Linked DNA regions of Arabidopsis thaliana. The protein of the gene in region 1 interacts with the protein of each later gene in a pairwise test. Each region holds a gene or a part of one and is shown on either strand. Other genes may lie near its edges.

What was found. The genes of interacting proteins can lie anywhere in the genome.
Region 2: the proteins of AFO (region 1) and IDD14 interact in binary tests that used the Arabidopsis thaliana proteins (3 or more experiments, as listed by UniProt).

What each region holds. Positions count from the first base shown.
Region 1 is NC_003071.7:18,628,661-18,632,419, forward strand, and holds the start of AFO (Plant-specific transcription factor YABBY family protein), read right to left. Parts: upstream 2,120-3,759; 5' UTR 1,893-2,119; coding exon 1,779-1,892; intron 1,769-1,778; exon of another isoform or gene 1,658-1,768; coding exon 1,496-1,657; intron 1,402-1,495; coding exon 1,269-1,401; intron 694-1,268; coding exon 645-693; intron 555-644; coding exon 479-554; intron 61-478; coding exon 1-60.
Region 2 is NC_003070.9:25,529,986-25,533,744, forward strand, and holds the start of IDD14 (indeterminate(ID)-domain 14), read left to right. Parts: upstream 1-2,022; 5' UTR 2,023-2,498; coding exon 2,499-2,649; exon of another isoform or gene 2,650-2,750; coding exon 2,751-3,153; intron 3,154-3,626; coding exon 3,627-3,759. UniProt on the Arabidopsis thaliana protein: Transcription factor regulating starch metabolism by binding directly to the promoter of QQS. The IDD14beta isoform attenuates the transcription factor activity by competitively forming heterodimers with reduced DNA-binding capacity.

The DNA of each region.
Region 1 (3,759 bases):
TTTCTTCACGGGTTGATTGTCTGGCACGAGCCCGAAGTGTATGTGGGGGAAGTGGGCCCACTGCATTACACATAAACAACATACGTACAAGACACATATCAACTTGTGTTATAACCCGACAAAATTCTTTACTCCTAATTTCAGCTATACCTACATATATGACTGTTTAATATATATACAACTAATACAAGAGCAACTATACGCATAGATAAAATCAAACCCTAGTTTCTGCCGGCAATCTAAACCAAGTTGTGATGTTAGTAGTATCAATGGCTTAAATTCTTTAGTAAAGGAAAACAAAGAATACTTAAAACGCATCACTTCTAACTAGAATTTTCAGCGTTTAAAAAAATAATTTTTTTATTGAACTAGAGATAAATATGGATTATCAAGGACTCTTTTGATTATTAAAATTTGATTCAACCAATGGATAACAGTTTAATATAAATTTTTGGGATGTGAGAAATAAGGTTCTTACATTCTTGGCAGCAGCACTAAAGGCTTCTCTGTGGCTTATATCAGGATTACCAGCTTTGATACGTTGGATCTCCTCCCTAAAATAAAAACGTGACAAGGAATTATATTAATGTTACACAGTTATGGTTAGAATATGAATGATTGTAAAAATTAAATAAGAGACTCACTTGATGAATCGGTTATATGCGGATGGGACTCTCTGTCTTTTCTCTGGAGCTGGCAATGGCGAAATTCAACGGCAAAGACAAAGCGAAAAAACAAAAACTCAGACAGAAAGAGACAAACACTCATTAAAACTACTTTCATTGTCTTTTTTCTCTCTCACACAAATACTTTCTCTCTCTAACCCATCATCACTTCATCATGTTTTTTTAAAGACAAGCCCATCTTCTAACATATTACATAGATTTTTTCTCTTTAGCTAGATTTCCGGGGGATCCATGAATCTATCTCCCCGTTTCTTTTATCGTCACTATTTTAATGTTTACCAACGCTAAAAGCCATCTAGGATATGTAGACAATCAACACATACTAAAGTTCATGGATCAATGAATATTTTAAATATACAAAATCATAATCTCTCATGTCTCCTTCTAGTATACAAAGAAAAGAAAGGTAAAAAATCTCCTTCTAGACTTAATTCAATGGTGCTAGGGTTTGAACGAGATCCAGTGAAAGTTAAATAAGAAAAGCTATGCATGTCTTAATGGCGATTCATCATCACAACCAAATTATAAACACGGTTAGCATAGAAGTTAATATCATAAAAGTGAGAAGAATTAGTATCTTACGGCGGTTAACGGGTGGTGCTTTAGGAATCTCATGTTGTTGATGAAGATCCATGAAAGATGGTATGTCATTCATAGTAGGATGTTGATTCATCATCATCATATTCATGTTAGACGGTGCATCTCTCAGCTCCTCCTACAATAATATTTATATCCTTGAGGCTTGAGATTACTTCCAATAAGCTAAATGAGACCCTATAAGATTATGTATTTGAATTTTGTTTAAGTACCAGAATATCCTGGGGATTGAAGTAAGAGTGAGGACCGAGCTGGAGCTGGAGCTGGTTAGAAGCTGGGAGGACATATGATCTCATGTTCACCGAAAGGAGATTGGTACAGCAACCACATCGGACAGTTACGGTCTTGAACAAGCTTGTGTAAGGAACATTAACCTATAAGCACACAAAAGAAACAATGAATTTAAAAAACCCCTAATCTTGTATAGATCAAGAAGATGAGAAGTTGGAGGAGAAAAAATGAGAGAGAAAGTATTGAAGAGAGGTTATTTTGTACCGCAAGGATGGTTTGGCAAAAGTTGCATTGGACATAGCAGAGATGGTCGGAAGGAGAGAAGTGGTCCGGTGAACAAACAGCTGAGGAAGGGGAGGACATAGACGACATAGACATCTTTTTTGTAAGAAGGGGAAAAATATTGGAAGCTGATCTTTTTTTGGGAGTGTTTGGGGATTTGATTGATTGATGGGTATTTGACTGATCAGAGGATTCTTGATAAGGAGAAAATAAAAAACCCCACCATGATCTGATCTTCTTGATTGTTGGGTTGCTGTGTATTATATACCACAAAGGAAGATATATAGAGAGAGAAGAGGTGAAAGGAGTGAGAAGGGAAAGGGGATATTAATATATTAGAGGGTAAAAATTAAACAACAAATGCTCTAATTGTAGCCTCTAGGTCGTCTACTATTAATTTCGTTAATTAATTCGGTAATACTGTGTGTATATATATAATGTGGTGTATTATACATTTCAATTCAGCGATACATATATTCTTTAAAGAAATTCTCCAATGGGTTATATACAATTTTAGGTTTTGAATAGTATAACAGAGTCAGCGGTAGTGAACCAGCAACATAAATGGAATAAGTTTGGATGGTGTAGAACAGATAACACAAACCAAATAAAAATAAATATGCCGGTGTTTAATAAGACAATAACTATTTATATAATTTTTCATTAAATCAAGTGGCCGAATAAAATTTATGATCGATAAAATAAACATACATTAGTTTTTTTAATAAGTTTCGGAACTACACCCTAAACACCATTTGAATAAGCAGTTCATTTTTTTCACAAACAGTTTTTTTTATACCTTTTCCGTATATTCTTATAAATTGTATTGCCACATAACAATTGAATTGTACCACCACTATACCGCACTCTTTGTTTTTATTTATCACAAAATGCATAATCTTGACAAGTGGATCCAGATATTAAACAAATGTTAAATTACTTTGAACATAATATTAATTGACAAAAGAATTGGACAATTTCTTTACAAATATCACTTCTTTTTTTTTGATAAAAATATACATCTCACTTAGATCTTTTTTAATTTTTAATTAGTCAAATGATGCGAGTTATTATTAAATCTTTGTTGTCAACATCCAATATAAGATTTCTTTTTGATAATGCCTATATTAGAAATTCGGTTGACCATGCGGTCTCACCCTTACTAGAAAACGTAGACATTAAGCATCTATACCGTTGTACCTCTAAGATGACCTTGTGGTCACAAGGAGACAAGACTGATGACAAAATAGTTTTGAGGATATTATCGCTTAAAGATGGACCTTTTTCTATCTGATCTCAAACAATTACAAACCTAATTTTGCAATCAATTAAATTTTGGTCTATACAATTAAAAGCACATGTTAATATATGAAAATAGCTATAGGCATTTATGTTTCTATATAAATAGAACAAGAAATTCTAACTAAAGAATCAAATTTATAGCTACTATACAAAACTTTCGACAAAAATATGAGATTGGATCAATATAGCGATGACCACTAAACTACAAACCACTTCATGATCAATTTTGAAATCTTAGGAAGAAGATATTGTAGTACTAGTATGAACAAGGGAAGATTGAGGCATACATTAGAAGATTCGCGAGCTTAGGCTTTGGGGTTGGGGTTGCACGTGATGACACATGTAATGTGTTTGCAAGTAAGTTAAGAAACGACGAAGCTCTTGAAAAAAAATTTAAGTGAAAAAAGTTTTAAAGCTTTGACAATAGAATTCGCAGTTCCCAATGGAGGAAGAGAAGAGAGGAGAGAGAGAGGGCGGCAGAGGTGGGGGGAAGAAAGGGACGTGTGCATGGGAGTGATTAAGCGTCGCCTCATTCACCCGTTGTTGTCATTCCTTAATTACCACTGCCATTACTTTTTCTCGTTTCTCTATACAATTCCTTTCCTATTTTTTTAATTTTTTTTTTAATTATTAGTATTTAATTTCAATTGAAACATACTTT
Region 2 (3,759 bases), on another chromosome or scaffold:
CGCTAAAAAAAAGCATTTAAAATCACCTCCAAATTTTATTTTAGCGATTTTGTTCTTGATATTGAATTGTGTATATATATCAACAAAACGAATTGAAGTGTTGTTTTGGACGAGTGTATATATATCTACTTTATTAAAGAAAATTGTTTGTAGAAGACAACATCACCTGCAATGCTTTATAATTCTAGTGTTCTTGTTTTTCTTTTACAGGGATTAATTTCCAAAACTTTTCTTTCGTTCGCCAGTTTAGTTTCTTTTATTTGGAATTTTGTATTTTACTTTGGTTCCTATAGGCTACGCGTAACATTGGCACATACTACTTTTTCATGTATGTAAGTAATTTCTGTAAAAGGCTACATTAAAGTCAATACTCTCCGTTTTGGGTTTCAGTGAAATCTAAAAAATGTCAATTTTACTTTTGAAGTTGCAACTTTCAGATAGCAACAAGAGCGAACGAGACAAATGCCTCAGGTTTCAGTGTACAGCTCCACTAAATGGTTTTCGGGTGCTATTATTTGTTTCATATAAATACATAAATACTACTCCATTTTTTCTAATTTAATGAGTAGTATTAACAAAAAAAAGAGTTATAGATAATGCTAAGTCTAAAGACCGGGGTAAATTCAAGGTAATACAAGTCAACAACTAAAAAAAACTAATTAAGGTAGTGAATTGAGTTCACGCAATTAAATAAACTAGTTAAACGAGTAATTTGGACGAGGGTGAAGTTGCTACATGATCATAGTGGAGTTTAATTTACAAAAGAATAGGATAACAAAACTATATATATATATATATATATAACGTAGTGTCAAATAAATTAATTAGTGTGTTATTTTCAAATATACCCATAAAATCCTTTTATTTTCTAAAGAAAACACAAAATAAATAATCGAATTTAAGTATGATTTTTATCCATTATTTTTGCCAAATAGAGGGTTCTTTACTGCATATATTCCTTAAATAAAGGAAAGAGGTGACTATTATCCTAATTTCTTAAGTAAGAATGCGATTGTGAAAGTTTTGATATATCCAACTTTACAAAAAAAGAAAAAAAAGCATTGCATGTGATGAGAATCCATCTCCCCCATCCTCCCACCCATTCTTTCCAACTCAACCATCTCCTTTCTCTTCCTATTAATAAAGTATCATCTTCTTTTTGTTTCTCTTTTTATTTTTTAATGAAAAATAAAACTTTTAAAAAAATTTGTATTTACTTCAATTTTCTTACAGTTCCACTTGGATAGACAAATGCCCTTTAATGAGATGGTGGTGGACTTTAAGTATATGTTATACGCACAACACACACACACACACACACTTTTATAGACATGTTTTTTAATAAAGAAAATTCTTTCGAACATATTCCAGATCTCTAATTTTTCTTTTGTTTGAGATGTTATATAGAATTGGTCTCAGCTGACACTCAAAAACCAGATCTGACTCTAGGGTTTTGTGTTTGTTTTTTGTTTTTCTTGTAAGAAAAACTATATATTGGAAATTTTCTGATTCGTCTCACTTGTGGGCACAGTATTCATATTTGATTAAAACCTATTTCTTATATAAAAAGGCATGAGATGATGGCACCACATTGTATATTTGTATATATACGGAAACATAAATTGGGTATATGCATGTGTCTTATATTCAAAACAAATATTCTCAAGTCCCTTCCCTTTTTAATTTACACCAGCCCTATAGCTAAAGGCTACACATATATACATTTGTCACCATTAAAAAACATGTACTGTTAAACATCAAATTTCCAAGATTCCGTTTATATTTTTCACCTATCCTTTTTTTTATTTATCTTTGAAAAACAAAACTTACTCACTCTGATCGAATATTTTATGATATGAAATAATAATGACTTGTAATTGTTGTGTAGTGGAAGGGGATGTTTTTTTGTTTCTTGTCCTGATGCTAATGTGGGCTCCAAGCTCCTTGTCCCACTCTCTTTATATGTATAAACATCTCTCTCCATAGATATGTTTTGTGTTTGTAAACAAACAGTGTACAGATAGAGAAGAGAGAGGTTCATAACTACTCTGAAGAAGATTGAAGCACCAAAGACCATACAATGCATTTCTCCATCTAAGGTGAGAGGTCAATGAAACAATTAACAAAAAGTTGAAAGTTTCATTTATTTTTTTCTTTTCCAAGAAAATTATAAAAAGTTGGATAGTAAAAGGGAACAGAAAAGCTATTATCCCTTTATGTGAGAAAAAAAATAAAGATGATTTCAGAAAAACAAAGCCCTTTGTTTCTCTCTCTTAACTCATCTTATACTTTCTTCTTCTATTAGTAAAGATGAGTACTCTCTCTACCAAATAAATAAGGAAACATAAAAAACAATCTCTCCTTCTTTCTCTACATGAAAAACAAAAGATTCCTCAATTTTGTTCTTATTTTTCATTTAGTCACAGTACCTCTCTCACTATAAACCACACTGTCTTGAGATAAAATACAAAAAGAGAAGAGATTAAAAACCTCATCCGATGATAGACTACGAGAGAAGCAATACCACCAAGAACATCAACACCCATCATCACAACCCTCCTCCATCTTCATCTTCCTCTGATCTTCTTCCCGACGGTAATGGAACCGCCGTGACTCAGAAGCGGAAACGGAGACCCGCCGGGACACCGGGTATTTAACAATTTTCTTATCAAGAATTACTAGTTGTTAGATTCTATATCCGGAAAGTTATCAAATAGTTCTGTTAAAGATTTTGATTTATCCGGTGGCAGATCCGGAGGCGGAGGTGGTATCTTTATCACCAAGAACGTTACTAGAATCGGATCGGTACGTATGTGAGATCTGTAACCAAGGGTTTCAAAGGGACCAGAATCTACAGATGCATAGAAGACGACATAAAGTTCCATGGAAGCTTCTTAAAAGAGAGACCAACGAGGAAGTGAGGAAAAGAGTCTACGTCTGTCCGGAGCCGACATGTCTCCACCACAACCCTTGCCACGCGCTCGGAGATCTCGTGGGAATCAAGAAACACTTCCGACGGAAACATAGTAACCACAAGCAATGGATCTGCGAGCGATGCTCAAAAGGCTACGCAGTTCAATCTGATTACAAAGCTCATCTCAAAACCTGTGGCACTCGCGGCCACTCCTGTGACTGCGGCCGAGTTTTTTCCAGGTTCCATTCCTTAGTAACAAACCCTAGCTTTTTAATTTTTATTTTTATTATATATTTAGGATATATATTTATCGGAATCCTTAAAGTAAATCAAAGAATGTTTTTTCTAGTATGGCGTGTCCATGTTTTGATTTTTAGATAACGCACATAGATCTTGAAACAACGTTTACTAATGGAACCTGATGAGGTTTGTTTGGATGTACTGTTGTCTGAAAATACTTTTAATTAATTTAATAATTAGGAACTATGTTTTGATTACTCACGTTGACCCCATAATAGATTTCATTATCAAACTTTGTTAAGTATATACCATACTAAACCTCGAAGTCTTGCATATCTCATACTCAAATATATAATCCAAAAGATACCTAACTCCACTAACTTAATTATTTATATTATCTGTCACGAGATACAAATATTCCTTTGTGCTTTCCATTTTAGTTTAACTTATATAATACACTCTTATTTCTCAGAGTGGAAAGTTTCATAGAGCACCAAGACACTTGCACCGTACGCCGATCCCAACCCTCCAACCACCGTTTACATGAGCAGCAACAACATACCACAAACGCTACACAAACCGCTTCAACCGCGGAAAACAACGAG